2 linked regions of the Struthio camelus genome follow. The protein of the gene in region 2 interacts with the protein of the main gene of each other region in a biochemical or structural test. Links are inferred from orthologs where the notes say so. Each region holds a gene or a part of one and is shown on either strand. Other genes may lie near its edges.

Region 1 (7,789 bases), on a different chromosome or scaffold from region 2:
GAGGGTTAAGAGCAGAGATTACAGAGGCCGGGCACCTCAGTTCTCTTTGGCAGTGAGATCTCTGCAGCTGGCAGATTGCTGCCAACAGATGATGAGGTAACACACACAGACATGACAGGGACAGCCTAGTCAAAGCCCAGTGAGTGGGGATTCCTCCTCCGAGCGCCTGTCCCTCCCTGAGTCCTGCTCCGACCCAGCCTTACCTGACGTATTCATGCCCCCAAGACGCCAGCTCCTCCTGGGAGCCCACCAGCCGGTACTTCAGACACTCGCGCTCCCCACTCATGGTCATGGCCAGAACAGAAATGATGTCTGCGGCAAAACGCTGGAGGAAGAGTGCCAGATGTTCAGACACACCCTGGGCACGAGGGAGCGAGGGCAGCCCACACCAGCCAGAAACACCCTCCCTGTGCCCACAAGCAATCACACGTGGCGCAGGCATGGCGCTGGCAAGTTATAATTCACCAGCGCGGGTCACAGAGGGTGATCTTAGATCTCACACTCTAGCAGGGCTCTATGGTCATGTGCCCCAGCACTGTCCTACTGCCCTCCAGCTACACAGGACGGTTGGCTTTACCTTGTTCTCTCCAGGAGCCATGTTCTCATAGATCTCCTTCAGCTTGCCGTAGTGTGGCCGTAGGAATTTGAGGGGTTTGGGAACAGAGGTCATCGAGGTCGTGGAAGAACGGATTTGTCTCCGCAGCTCCTCCAGGGCAGGGCGATAGAGGGACGTATCCTTCTCCTGCAGAGCAAAACTGCCTGTCAGGAGGCAGGGGCTGGTTCCTGTGTCACCTCTCCACCTACCCTCCCCAAACATAGCATCCAGATCCAAGCATCCCCCTGCCCCAGCAGCCATCCAGCTGCCCACCCTCCAAGGCAGCCTGGCCTCCAGCAACACCAACATCTTCCATGATCAGGAAGAGCCAAGTCACACATTTGGGAAGGAAACTGGCATCACACAGCTCTGGGCCACGGTACCCCCTGTCTAAGGGTGGCAACAGCCCAGTCTCACACAGAAAACCTCCACTGCTCCCCAGTTCCAAGCAGGCATCTGGGTGAGCACACAAGCACTGTGCACGCATGCATCAAGCAGGCAAACTCCTGCCTTGCCAAGCCCACAGCATCTCCTTGAGCCAAAGTAGGTTCCCAGGGCTGAGGAGGAAGCACAGCAGGGGGAGGAAAGTCATCAGCACAAGGAGGCACAGCTCCCTTAGACACAGGTCAGACAGGCAGTAAGGCCGGGGGACGGACATCGCTGTGACAGGCAAGGGGGGGCCCCATTCAAGGAGAAGTCCCCCATCTCCACGGCATGAGAAACAAGTGCCTGTAACTGACGGATGGCCAGAAGCAAGTCTCAGCTGGGGTTCCCGACAAAGCAGCTCCTCACTGAGGGGCAAAGCGTGAACCTACCCCCAAGCGCTCCACCAACATCTCCAGCTCATCCTGCAGCTGCTTGTCTTCCTCAGACTGCAACAAGACACAGAAGAAAGCCAAGTTAAGGGGCTCAGCGCAGACACCCCCAGCTCCGGAGCACACCTCCCCCCCAGGGTACCATTACATCAACCCCTATACATGGGGAGGTCTCAGCACAGCCCTAAGGAACAGTTTGGTCCACGACTTTCCCCCCACCTCCAGCTTTTCCAGGAATTAAAGGTTTGGACTACCCCATGACTCCCGCCCCAGGAAGGCTCACTGGTACCCTTGCTGGGGGATAGGTGACAGAAGGGACTGCCTCCCTCCTCCTCACAGGGGACAGGTTTTGCTGTCCCCAAGATTTTTGACTTTAATCCCAGAAAGTCTCTCCTCAGCTTCATTCTCCACAGGGGTGGTATCAGTCTGCCACAAGCCCTGCTCCCCTTCTGGGATCTCTGTTTAGACCTCTGGGTGCCCTCACCCCTCACCCACAGGCCCCACGTGCCCCCAGGGTAGCTGCTTTCCTCCATGCATCGCAGGAATGGGGTAGGTGTCACCCTGGGGTGCTGGGCCATCTCCATAATGCACAGCCTCCAACAACCTCCACAGGGCACCATCCTGCCCCAGAGCAGTGTGGGGTCAGTGCCCCCATCACCCATCAGGACACCCCACGGAGAGGGGCATGGCAGGGAACTGCCCCGCAGCCGGCTCCTGCACAGCCTGCCACATCAGGGCACCGAGCAGGGTGCCCCGAGTGATGCCAGCACCCCTGCCCCGCTCCCATGGGGACCCCCGACCCCAGGAACATCCCCACCCCGTACCAGAAGGCACCTGATGTCACATGTGCACTCTGATTACAGCATGGGTCCCCAACTCGCAGTGCCACCCCCAGTGCCATCCCCACACCACGTCCAGAAGGGACCCTGCTTCAGGCCCTGATGTCACACGTGCACTCTGATTACATCACAGGCCCCAGCCCACAGCACCGCACACCCTCAATGACATGACACCCTGCGGGGTCCCCCACTGCCATCCCCACACCACGTCCAGAAGGGACCCTGCTTCAGGCCCTGATGTCACACGTGCACTCTGATTACATCCCAGGCCCCCTAACCCGCGGTGTCACACGCCCCCCGTGACGTCAGGCCCCGCGGCCCCCAGCAGTCCCCCCACAGGCGCACCCCCCAGGGCAGGGAACCCTCGGCGTCATCACCTGGGCACCCCCTGACGTCACGGCCCCTTCCAGAAGGGGCGCCCCTCACCCCACTCACGTCACACGCCCCCTCCGCAGGGCGCCCCCGCACCCCAAGCACGTCACGGGTGCCGCGGCGGGGGGGCCCGCCACCCCGCTGACGTCACGCCGCGTCCCAGTGACGTCGGGCCGCCGCGGGAGGGGGCGGCAGCGGGGCGGCCCGGCCCGGCCCGGCCCGGCCGGGGCCGTGACTCAGCTCCGGGCCGCGGCGCGGCGCGGCGGCGCTCACCAGCTCCTGCTCCTTGTCGGGCCCCGCGGGGGGGTCCCGGCGGTCCCTGCCCCAGGGCGGCGTGGGCTTCTCGTCGCCGCCCGCCCCGGGGCCGCCCTGCACCCGGCTCTGCCCGCCGCCGCCGCCCGCCTCCATGGCTGCTCCGCCGCGCACCGGCCGCGCTCTGCGCCTGCGCCACCGCCAGCGCCAATCGGCGCCCGCCGCTGCGCTGACGCCACCGCCGCGCGCCGATGGGGGCGGGGCCTGGGGGGCGGGGCGACCCCCACGTGGGGCGGCCGGGGCGCAGCGCCGAGCGCCGCCGGGGCCGGGCCGGGCGGGAGCGCCGGCACCCCGGGCTGGGGGACCCGGCGGGGCTGGCGCCCCGGGGCAGGGGAGCCGGGAGCGGCGGCACCGCGGGGTGGCGACAGGGTCAGCGGACCGGCAACGCTGCCACCCCCGGGCCGGGGGACCCGGGAGCGGTGGCACCCTGGGGACAGGGCCAAGGGACCCGGGAGCGCCAGTGTCCCAGGGCCAGGGGACCCGGGAGCAGTGGCACCCTGGGGACAGGGCCAGGGGACCCGGGAGCGGTGGCACCCTGGGAACAGGGACAGGGGACCCGGGAGCGCCAGTGTCCCAGGACCAGGGGACCCGGGAGCGGTGGCACCCTAAGGTGGGTAACCCAGGCATGGTGGCACCCTGGGGGGCTGGGGGACCCAGAGGTGCTGGCCCCCAGGCAGGGGCACGGCCGGCAGCAGCACCTCCCTGCCCGCTGCCAGGATGCCGAGGCGCCACCGGAGCAGGGCGAGTGCTGACGCGTCCCCAGGGCCCGGTGGGCTCCCCGTGCCCCAGCCCCCGGACCTGACCCGCCACAGACACGCGGGCACTCGTGCCCTCGCACGCACACCCCTGGGCGCACACGCGGCCCTGCACGCGCGTGCCGCCCCGTGGCACCGGGCCCCGCGGTTCCGGCAGATAGCACTGCCATGTCCCGCACCACCATGCACCGCCCACCCTGCGCAGCGGGAGCACCCCACGGGGCACCCTCGGGTACCACCGTCCCCTGCGCCGCGCACACCCGGACCCCAGGCCTCCCTCCATGCCCTGGCTGCCTTTGCAGCACCAGGGGATGCTGCTCTTCGCGCTGGTCTTGCCCCTGGTGCGAGGTGCCACCGCCGTGGACACCCTGGGGCTCACCCTCGCGCACCGCCAGGGCCAGGCGGGTGACTGTGCACCCACATGTACAGGCGATGCACACCCGTGCCTGCCCCCTGCCCCCCGAGCCCGGCTGCACACCCGTGGGGGGTGAGGGGGGCTGCCAGTGGTGTGAGCCCTCCGTGCCAGTGTCCAACCGTCGGTGCTGCGACACGTGTCGAGTGCCACGGTCCCGGGCTGGTGTGTGTGTGTGTGTGTGTGTGCGTGTTAATGCATATGCGTGTGCGTGTGCAACACCTGCGAGCAGGCGGAAGGCTGTACGTGCACAACACTATGCCAGGGGCAGTGCCAGCATGTGCCCCGTGGGGCCAGGAGCCGCCCCAGCTGCAGGTCCCCTGGAAGGGGTGGCTGAAGCCGCAGCGTAGGTGTCCCCCAAGGTCCCTGTGCCTCAACACGCTCAGCGCCCCGCTCCCTGCACCCTGCGCACAAACCGGGCGCTCTCCGGTGACACCCAGCCCCAGGCAGGTGGCCGCACAGGGGTTGCCTCTCTGAGTGTTGCCGAGTGTGGCTGCGTGTGTGAGCTGGGGTGTGAGACTGTCCGTGCAGCTGTGCGCGTGCAAGGGTGGCTGTGAGGATACCCTGGCTGCCCGGGGCTGGGTGCGCTCCTGTGCCGCGCGACTGTGTCAGCGCCTGCTGGCGTGGGCCTCTGGGTGTTTGTGCGCCTTTGCCTGTGTGTTGGTGTCCTGGGGGCGGAGGGTGGTGCGTGTCTGTGTGTGTGTGTGCGCGCGTGTTGGCGTACCGGTGTGCGAGGCTCCGTGCCGCCGCCTGTGCATGTGTCGGAGCACCGGTGCGGGGCCGCGCTGCGGTGGCTGTGTGCGGTTTGCAGCCGGGTGCCGGTGCGTGTGCCCGGGTGCTGCAGCCCCGCGCCCCTTCCCGCGCCCTGCTGCTCGCGGCGCGGCTGCAGGTGGCGGGGCGGCGGCGGGGGCCGGGGCCGCTCCCGGGGCCGGTGCGGGCGGCGGCCCCGCCCGTGCGCGCGGCGGGCGCGGCCCCTCGCGGTCACCTTGGCGGCGGCGGCGGCGGGGCCGGGCGGAGCGGAGCGGAGCGGCCGGGCTGCGCACGCCGGTGTCCCCGCTCCCCCCGCCGCCGGGCCCCCGGCCCCGGCCCCAGCCGGCGCCCACCCCCGGTGCGGCCGCGCCGGCCCGCCGGTGCGCAGCCCTCCGCGGCTCCCCGGGCCCCGTCCCTCCTCGCCGGGGCGGCCGCCGCCGGCCCCGCCAGCGCCGGTGCCCCGGGGGCGGCGCGGGCCATGGCAGCTGCAGCGGCGGAGGCAGGCGGCGCTGCGGCGGCGGCGGCGGCGGCGGCGGGGGCCCGGCGCGGCCCGGGCGGGGAGCGGAGCTAGGCGGGAGGGGCGGCCCGGGATGGCCAGGATGAACGTGGCCCTTCAGGAGCTCGGACACGCCGTGAGTCCCGGCGGCGGCGGCGGCGGCGGGGGCCGGGGGTGGGGAACGGGACAGAGGGACAGAGAGGGGGGACAGGGGACAGGGGGATGAGGGACCGCAGGGGACAGGAGATGGGGGCCGGGGGGCAGGGAGAGCCGGCGGAGAAGAGTCCCCGGGGTGCTGGGGGGCTGCCCCGAGGGAGTTGGGGGGCCCCCGGAGCTTGGGGGGCTCTGGGGGCCCTGGGGGGACTCAGGGAGCTGGGGGACGAGAGACTAGTGGATGCAGAGGGGCTGGATGGGTCTGGGGGCTGGAGGAAATTGGGGGGCTAGAGGGGTCAGGTGGGCATAGCAGACCCCCCACTGGAGGGACCCATCTCCCCTGGTGAGGAGGAGAAGGGGGAGAAGGGATCCCTGTGCCCTGTGCCTGTGCAGGGCAGGGGAGCTGGGACACTTTGGGGAGGGGGGCACGAGGGACCCTACAGCCCCTGCTCCGGAGGAGCTTGGAGCCAGCCTGGGGGCAGACCACTCCACTTGTAGGGTCCTGAGCCAGCACCCCGCGAGGGAGCAGGTGTGTGTACCCAGCTCCAAGGCCTCAGCCCCATGAGGGGCCGGGGCCGGAGTGGGTCGGCAGCAGGAGCCTCAGCGCTGCGACACCCCATGTGTCCTAGACCTGCCTTGGGGGTGCCCGGAGCTGCAGGGGAGGGAGTACAGCCAGCCAGTGCTGGGGGGATGGGGCCCCCCCAGGTGGGGGAGCGCAGGATGGGGGAGCCCACGGTGGGGGAACCCGGCTCGCCGAGCTCCCACGAGATGCCAAGCCAGCCCTCGCAGACGCCAGCGGTTCCCGGGAACCCGCCCCGGCGAGGGGTTTCCTGCCAACCGTCGATCCCCGCTGCCTCGCGTGGGTTCCTGCCTGGGCAGCCCTTTGCGGAGCCCCCCGCCCCAGCAGGGTAGCAGCAGGCAGGAGCTGGGCACGGGCACTTGCCCCACTTCATCCCCTGCCTGGCATCCGCCCCCCACTCCCCCCGGCTCCTTCACAGTCCCCACTGGGGGGACCAGGCCCGCAGACAGCCCCATGGCATCGGCCTGAGTCTGTGGCTTTGGGCAAGAAGGGTGAGCCACAACCCGCCCAGGCTTTAACTCTGAAGCCTAAGGATGGCTGTGACCAGCCGCATTGTTGATTGTCTTCCGCCGAAGCATCCAGCCTTTTCCTCTGGCTCATCCCCCCCTCAAGTTTCTGGCTCGTCTCCACCGCTTCTTTCTTAGCTGATTCTTGGCAGCCCTTGCGTCTGGCTCGGTACAAACAGCCCTTGCAAGGCCGCCCCGGAAAGCCTGGCGTGTGGGGGGATCCTAGCCCAGCCTGCCGAAAATTCGCTTCTGTCCCCGCGTTCAGCCCCCGTGGAGGCCCTGCCTGCCCTTGGGCAAGCGCGCAGGTTGGCCCACGGCCGGGGGCTCCCGCCAGGGCTGGAGGCGCTTCCAGATGTTTCGGGGCCCGTGCACATCTGCGTGGAAAGTTCCAGGCAGGGGGGGAGGGACGAGGTGGCGGCGCTAGGCAACGGCGCGACTGGTTGCCTGGCAACAGGGACCACGTCTCCGTGGCGATGTGGCACCTGTCCGTGCGCCTGATGCCTCGGCCGCCATGGCGACGTGGAGGGATGCTCCGGCTGCCCGCCTTGGGCCCCCTGGCCCCCCTGGGGAGGACGAGGAGGGGTGCCGAGGGCGAGGAAGGCTAGGGGCTGGGGCGAGAGCCCGGGGCACCAAGGGACTTCAGGCCCACCCCAGTGTCCCACACACCCGGCCGGGCGGGCACCTGCCATCCCTGTGAGCACCGGTGGGGGCCGGGGAGAGCTGCAGCACTGGGCACACCCCCCCCCATCCCCGTCCCAGCCCGCTCTTTCCCCCGGCAGATGCCTGACTACAAGCGTGCCACGCTGCAGGATGACGAGGGCCCCGAGCCAGCAGGGGACGGCAGCGCCTCTCCCGACAGCATGGAGGTGAGCTCTGCCCCGAAACGCTGCCCGCCTGCCTGCACCGGGACCCCTCCAAGCCCCCCTCCCCTCCCTCAGCCCTGCCGTCTTCCTGAGACTGCCTGCACTGGGGTGGGCACGAGAGCAGAGGCCGGGAGCCAAGGCAGCCCTGGCACTTCCCAGGGCTGCGCTGGGAGGCAGCCAAAATGCGGCAGAGAGTCTGTCCAGGGCAGAGTCCGTCCTTGTGGCTGGGGGGCTGCCAGCACCCACTGCGGGGGCAGGGGGCTCAGGCCCCTTCGGGGGGATGCCCCATCTCTCAGGTGGCCCCAGCAGGGATACACAGGCACCCAGCTCTCTCCCTCCTT
Region 2 (8,018 bases):
GGAAAGCTGCTAGTAACTACAGTATACTATATCACATCTCATCATCCTTTTTTAAAAAAGCCCAGCTGTTGCAGATCATAAAAGAGGTACTTCTTCGATCGGAAAACTTAAACAAATTCATCTTTCCAAATTAACAGCTCTATTTAAATTGATCTATCTTATGTCTTTATAAGTTTACAGACATTTCATTTGGGATTGCAATTTTTCTAATTGCCACTGTTACTGCCACTACAAGTTCCACTTTAGATAGAGCTATAGTCCTACCATTGAGTCTATGCTAGTAGGACTTGTTAAAGTTAAGCCTCGCGAGGCCTAAGCAAACTTAAGTATGTCTGCACTACAGACAAACACAGCAATGTTGGATGGGGGTATCAACACATGTGATCCATGACCAGCACAGTTATTGTTTGCAGCTGCAGTTATATTTGCAAAACCAGTCGCTTAGCAGTCAGTTTGGCTGATGGTTTACTTTGGTGTAGCTGCATCCACATCAGGAACACTGCTAGCATCTCTAGCACTGACTAGGTCCTTAAACCGGAGTCCCTGCTTTCACGCTGGGAAGGTTTTGATAATGTAGCTCTATACAGGTGTAGCAAAAGTTGGGAGACTTCCCCCAGTCAGGCAAAGGGTTATTCTTAGCATTAAATAACCTGCATACAGATTATGACAGTATTTCTGAGCGGTGCTTTATTCCACCAACTGAATCGAAACAGGCAGTACCAAGCATCCAGCTAACTCTAGTGGAGCACTGTAGAGGCGCCCCGATTTGTCCAGCAGATTTTCAGAGTTGGAATTTTCATACTGTATCTTTCTAAAAAAATACACATTTACTGTTGGTGGACAAGTTCAAAGAGCAATTTATTATTTTCATGAACACAAAAAGCTGAAAGGGAACACTTTAGAATTCAGCCTTCTGTAAAACTGAAACCTACATGTAAGAGAAAAACGATCACAAAAAGCCTGCGATGAGGGACAATAAAATGAGAAATCCATGGAACTCAGGAACATTTGCCACACCAATCTCTGCTATATTACGTTCACAAAAAAGTTCAGGCAAGTTGCATTTTTAAAAGGAATTCTTAACACTGTTTAAATAAATTCTTTCACTAGTACTTTCACTGCCCATAGTTTCTGAAAACAAGCAGCTATGCCAAGATCTTTCTATGATGCCCGCAATCGGAATGTCCAAAGCTGGGACTAATTTTATTCCACTGATACAGCACAAGCACTTTAGTGTACCCATGTAAAATCGCTGACCAGCCATTATCAACCTCATCAGGAAACATGGTCTTTATATTTGATGGAGTTAAAGCTACGCATCAGTTTCAGTTTCCACATTATCTTTTAACATTTGCCCTTGTAAATTTATCTTTATACCTGCATAAGTTTAATAAATTTGTCCCATATAATTAAAACGCATAATTATTTATAATTATGACACAGAATTCTGCTGCAACTTTGATCGGATCAATAAATTAGTAAGCGTAGCAGAAGATGCTATAACGGTTGTTTATTTCTGGAGCAGGAAACATGTTCTGAAAGTAATACTACTAGCAAGTTGATGCCAAAAGTTGCAAATTATCTAAAACATATATCTGAGGACCAGGACGTGTTCTGCCAATGCCCATTTCAACTGGGTAACATTTATTCTATTTTTGACGCAGGTAATGTCATGTATGAAGCCTAAGGGACAGAAATGGCTTAGGATTATCAGAAGATGATTCAGGGGAAAAGTTGAACAAATTAAATATAGTTCTGCTACACATTCTCTTTAATAAAATATGTAACAGAAGACATCAAAAAGCAAACTTCACTGCAGTTTTAATATCAGGTAGTACAGTATTTTAGTTCAGCTTCCTAACTATACTGCCAAGCCTTACAAGTTCCAGGTAAATGAATTTGCTTATAATGCACAGTAACATTTTTTACTCCCATTAAGATTCAGTGATAGTAATGACATAACAATAAATAGCTTCCCACACAACAACGCTCAATGATAACAAGAGGAATCAGTACTTTACTGATAAATCAAAGCGACCCTTAAAATCAGGGCCCGGCTAAAAACACTTTTGTCATTTATCCTGCTCTTCAATAGCTCTATGCCCCTCTGAGGCTGACTAAACACTTGACCATCCTTTCCGATCAGCCAGAGCTAAGCCATCCAACTTCTTTCTCAGCAATAAACACCAGAAGACTCAACAGCCTGGTAGAGCAGACAATTAACTGCTACTCCCTCTGCACACCACAAGTCGACTGAGCGTAAACTTAACCGAGAAAAGCTAAACCTGCGACCTGTCAACCTTCACTCATTTGGGAGAAGCCTCCCCCTCTTCCCCCCACGCTTTGCTTTACTTTGCATTGATCTCAGCTTTTGTAAGGCCCCATTCCTCCAGCCAGGCATGCTCCTTGCCGGCCTCTCACGGGACCTTTTTTTTTTTTTGGGGGGGGGGGGGGGGGTGGGAGGACACACAAAACGACAGGAGGTCTGCGGGCTGCAGCGCCGGCGCCGCCGACGAGCTCTGGAGCCGTTTCCTCACCTCCCACAATTCTTACACGCTCCGGGCCCGGCAGGGTGCGTGTGGCCTGATTACAGGGGGAAGAAGGAGGGGAAAGAAGGGGGAAAAAAAAAAAAACGGAGCCAGGGAGAGCACAGATAAATACATCATCACGAGGGGAGGATTTTTCCCTATTAAACCTTAGTCATAGCTGCTCCCGTTTCTGAAGGCCCAACGATAAAGATAACGATAATAAAAACGGCAAGATAGGCTGGGGACGGGGAGGAAAAACAACAACAAAAAAAAACCCAAAACACCCCAGCACCCGGAGCAGACACACAGGGAGACAGCCCCGGCGGCGCCGCTTACCTTCCGACTCGCTCCTCCGAGGGACACCTTGGGCCTTGTTTTGAAATCCCCTTCAAAGCTGAACATGTTTACAGCTTATCCCATCGGGAGAGGCGGCGCGGCCCCCTCCCGAGCTGACACGGCGACGGGGGCGCCGGCCGACCGGCCGCGAGCGGGCAGCCCCGGGGCCGCGGGCAGCCGCAAGCCCCCGGGCCGGCACCCCCAGGCCCGCGCCGCTGCCGCCCCCGAGGGGCTGCTGCCCACACGGCGGCCCGGCTCCCCCACCACCGCCGCCGCCGCCGCCTCCCCGCGGCCTTCGCTTCCCCGGCCACCCCCTTCCTGACCGGCGGCTACGGCTCAGTGTGGTGGGAGGGAGGAGGGAGCGGAGGAGGGGGCTGGCGAGGCTGCTACACTTGCACTGGGGGAAGCAGCCGGCTGTAGCGAGAAGATGGCCGCCGCCCGCAGCCTCCCCGGCGCGCTCCCGCCGCCACCGCCGCGACGCTCCCGCTCCCGCCGCCGCCGCCGCCTCCGCCGCGCCGCGCCGCCCGCGCGCACGCGCGCGCCGCCCCTCGGCAGCGCCTCCGCCGGCTTCTGTGGAGGCGGCGGCGGCAGCCGGGTCACCCCCGCGGCGGGCGGCGGCCCTCGCTCCTGTCAGCCCCTTCCTCAGCCCGCTGCCGGCCCCCGCCGCGCCGCCCCGCTTCCTCCGAGCCCGGCCCCGGCCCGGGGCTGCCTGCGCGCCGGGGCCGAAGCGGCGGGTGTCCGCGCTCGCCCTCCTGGCGCCCGGCCCAGCTCCTCATCTCTCCCCACCGCCGTCGCTTCCTGCCGGTCGGGTCTTTTTTTCCCCTTAGCGGGGCAGTTTTGTCCCCTTGGCTCCAGCTTTCCCGCCTCTAGGAAGGAGAGGCCTAGCTGCGCGTAGGCAACGTCCTCCTGACCCCAAAGGCCAAACGCCTTTGAAACGCTGGAAACGGCGGGTCGGGGCCTGCGTTTTAACAGCCCGACGCCGGTGTTAGCGCGGGCGGGCGCGCACGTTGCTTTCCCCTTGTGAGCGTGAGCTTTGGGCGGCCGCGCAGGGGAGCTGGGACCGGCAGAGCTGCGAGGCCCATACGCGTGGGCTGGGCAGCGCTGGCCGCGGAGGCCTGGCCCGCTCCTCCCGCGCGGCCGTCTTGCTCGGCCTAAATACGTGATGACAGCGGAAGTTGCTGCTAATCATGATAGCGTTGTTATGCTGTACGGAACAGCGCGTGTGCTCTTAATGAGCAGACATGGCGGGGGGAGAAAGGATCATAACACAAATTATTTTTATAAATAAACACATTGCTGTGCTTTTTGTAGGATAAGCGTATGCTGGGGCATCAGCCTGTTGCAAAGACTTCAATGAGCAGCTGAATGTCAGCATCCTGAAAACACTAGTTGCAGGCACCAGTACGGCTGTGAAACCCCAATTACCAAACCCCTTCGTGCAAGTGGACTCCGTACAGGACTGAGGTATCAAGACAACGAAGAAAGCCAGGTGTATAAAAGCAGCAGAACGAAATGGTGAAACTAAGCTTGAGGCTGCTTTGCTCTACGTTTCTTTAGCCTGTACTCCATTTTTCAGCTCTGATTGCGTTGTTCTAGATACAGAGATAATACTGAGGGACGCAATAACAAAAAGCAGTTAATCGCTCTGCAACTAAGAGGTGCTAAATTAACGTAAATGATCAAATCCAGCTTCCTTCTGCTTTAGAGGAAATTTGACTGGGCCCTAACTTGTGATTTCTCACCTCACCCTATCATAACGGCCAAATAGCAGGGTCCATGCCAGATGATAGTGTATGCACTTCGGACTAGTTCTTACAGAAAAGAAAATGCCATTTAATTATTTCCAGGCTGAGTGTTAGATTATATGTTTGTTGATATTTCTTCAGATTTGGATGATTCAGAAGAGCCTGAATTTAAAAATTTCAGACATTTCGTAAGGGAGGTTGTGCTTGACAAGGGTGAACATCAGCCTTGTATTTCCTGAGATAACGTAGTTTCGGTATTAGCAAGCCTGGCCTCCTGTAAATACTGCTTACTGATGCAGTTGAGGTTTGAGCGTTGTGTAATACCATGTCAAATGCTGGTTCAGAGTTTCAACACATTGCATCGTTGATGCAATATCACACCATTAGGGTTCAGTTTGGCTCCAGGAGAATGGGAGAACCCTCAAGAGTGGAAATGAATTTTTTTCAAAGCGTGACTGCATTCTTTTTGCGTGGCCTTCAGCCTTGATAAACTATGTAGGTCTCATACAGAAAACTAAAGGGCTAATCCAGATGGCCATAGCAGTTAATTCATTGCTTTCCCTTAGCTCAGAAACAAACTGTCAGGTCACAGTTTTGTGTGGAATTTTTATCAGTAGCAAAGCCAACTTAGGGATTCCCTCCTCGTGTAGCAAGGAGAACGAATGTGAAACTGCATTGGGTGGTGGTTAGATGAAATAGGTTTTGAGCAGATACATCCTTAACAAGGGCCAACTTCAGCGTTAGATGGACACAAGATCTCTTGATGATCCAGGCTGTTACCTCCTAAGAGGTAGTTTGATGAGTTTTTCATGGCTGTTAAATGACATGAGCCCAAGTGATGAATGCGTGTCTGAGAAATCTGAATGATTTGTGTGTGCCTCTAGAGGCTACTCTAGGTGTAATTTTATTAAATGAAAATAACTTATATAACAGGATAAACAACTGGATGTTGGTGTCTTGAATACAGTGAGTTTACAGAAGCAGAAGAAACCATGAAATGTATTTTATTTTTGTGTTTCTTTTTAGTGCAAACAATACATTTATATCACAGTGGAGGAAATGTACAAGAATCAGAAGAATCAGTGGTGGTTAGTCAAGAAGTCAGAATGGTGAAGAGTTTAATATTTTCAGGGAGCAGCAAGAGCGGGGCTGCTCCAAGAAGGAAGACAAGTGGGCGCCGAGGGTGACCGCAACGCTGGCATTGCCTTCCCTGACCCAGGTGCAATCGCACGTGGTCCAAACACAGTAGGCAGAGCCAGCCGCTGGCAACGGGGTTTATCGATAGTCCCAGACAAGGCCAAGGGATGAAAAGAGTGCAGTCAGGAACAGCAGGAGACAAGGCTACAATGTAGGTCCAAGGTCCATCCGGGGGGGCGGGGCTGGCGACAGGTATGCCTGAGCTTAAAGGGAGGTCTGGGACCGATCAGCAGAGGAGTGAGTGAGTGGGGGTCGCAGCTGGGGTTGGTCAGGGCATTTAAGGCCTATTAGTGCACTCAGGGCTCTGACAAAAAAATACCCAAGAATTTAGGAATGCTACTGTTTTATGTATGCCTCTTTTAACACCCGCCTGAGTTCACTTGTTTTGCCTCACCAGCTGCAATAGCTAGCTCCATACGGAGTTTGCCATCTTTCTCGTCTCCTTTCCTATTGCACATTCCATGAGATTTTTTACTGTCTCCAAATCACAGTTCTCTACCTTTTACATTGTTCTCTTTTCCCCTTGCAGGCATAAGCATCTGCAAACATTGCTTCCAGGTGCAACAGGACCGCAGAAGTCCAATTGTTCTTCACACAACAGTCTGTTAAAAAGATGGAACTGCTTGACATTTTCTTCACTCTGTGCAACAGATATCAACCTTTTCTGCTTTTTATTTGAAATGACATGTGTAGGGCCATTTCATTTGTGTAGCTGAAAATCTCCAATGACAACTCTTCCATTTCCAAGACAATTCATTTTTTTTATTTTCCGTATTTGTGTTAATAAACAAAAAAGGTTGTGAATATGAATGCCCTTGGGAATTAGAAACATAAAAAATCTTAGAAATACAGGTGTAGGTATGACCTCTAGTCCATCCCCATGCTCTGCAAAAGGGATCAATTTCTGTAAGTACATATGAAATATCTCTGAATATATGTATTTCTAATTATATGCCACTCTAAAGCAGCTTTCACACTTCTGTATCAAATACAGCTCAGGTAAACCACTGCAAACCTGGAGTCCCACAACGTGCCTAGCTGCTCACAACAGACAGTTATACATCTTCTTTTAATATCCAACTTAAATTTCTGTTAGTTCCTGCTAAATGATTATTTGTCTCCTGCCCACAGAGAACACACAGAACAACTGATCGTTTTCCTTTTCAAGGCATCCTTTATGAAGACTATTAGTTATTCTCTCTCAGTCTTTTTTATTTTAGACCAAAAAAAAATATGCTTTCAATTTTTTGTCATCTGTCCATATTTCCAAATTACCAGTCAGTTTTGTTGCCCTCCTTATGACTCCATCCAGGCTGGCTACATTGTTCTTTGAGAGCGGTGACTAAAACAGGACTCCAACTCTGGATTCAGAAATATTTCAAATTACTTTTTTGCCGTTTTCCCTTTGTTTTGTTTTTACCAAAACTACTAGTAAATGTGCAACATATGCAATTCAAGCATAGTTTTGACAGGACAATTAAATAAATTCAACACCTGGACATTTAAGTATTACTTTATATCTTACAACTGTGCTGGAGCTAGAAAGTCAAAGGACTGTACTGAAAGTGAAATGTTTTTGCTTACTTTCACTATCAACTTGAAGCAAAGTGTAAATTAATAACGACAAGGACATTCATTACCTTTGTTTCTATAGAGGCGTATAACAACACAGATAAGGACATGGCTTACTACATACAGTCCAGCCAGCTAGTCCTTTAGTTAAAGTTACCCAAAATTATTTGATTAGAAGATCACTGTCACAAGGGCAGGGGAATACTTACTTGTGTACAGTGACAGATTTAGCCGTTTGGATTGAAATTTTCTACTTCAAGAATCTACCTCGATCTCGATTCTGAAAAGTATCATTTGAAATAATGGATACATTTTTGAGAATACGAAAAAATCTTAATTTGACCATCGTACAAATAAATAACTTGTGTCTTTGTGTGGGGCTTGGTCATGCTTCCAGATTAATTTTTGCTAGTTTAGCTCCCTGGGCCGCCTAACTATGGGACTCGGTAAGAGATGGTGATTGATGGTGCAGGCTGATTATGTCTGAAGTACGTGGCCCTTTTCTAAACTTGCTTCACTGAGCATACTGCAGCGATGAAGATCGGAATGCACCATGTCCTAATGTCCCTGCACTAGCTGAAGGTAGCTCCTGCTCAGTGAGTACTGAACAAATGGGCATTTTCATAGCGCCCGTATTCTG

Evidence for each region. The genes of interacting proteins can lie anywhere in the genome.
Region 1: the proteins of UBE3C (region 2) and PSMD2 form a complex in vitro, tested with the Homo sapiens proteins (2 studies listed by BioGRID). The link is inferred for Struthio camelus from reciprocal best matches to the Homo sapiens genes UBE3C and PSMD2.

Annotation. Positions count from the first base shown.
Region 1 is NC_090950.1:22,661,364-22,669,152, reverse strand, and holds the start of PSMD2 (26S proteasome non-ATPase regulatory subunit 2), read right to left. Parts: upstream 3,054-7,789; 5' UTR 3,030-3,053; coding exon 2,895-3,029; intron 1,468-2,894; coding exon 1,411-1,467; intron 743-1,410; coding exon 578-742; intron 326-577; coding exon 204-325; intron 1-203. Other genes in the region: ECE2 (endothelin-converting enzyme 2), read left to right, coding at 5,441-5,482, 7,365-7,451. UniProt on the Homo sapiens protein: Component of the 26S proteasome, a multiprotein complex involved in the ATP-dependent degradation of ubiquitinated proteins.
Region 2 is NC_090943.1:10,788,441-10,796,458, reverse strand, and holds the start of UBE3C (ubiquitin-protein ligase E3C), read right to left. Parts: upstream 3,044-8,018; 5' UTR 2,931-3,043; coding exon 2,865-2,930; intron 1-2,864. UniProt on the Homo sapiens protein: E3 ubiquitin-protein ligase that specifically catalyzes 'Lys-29'- and 'Lys-48'-linked polyubiquitin chains.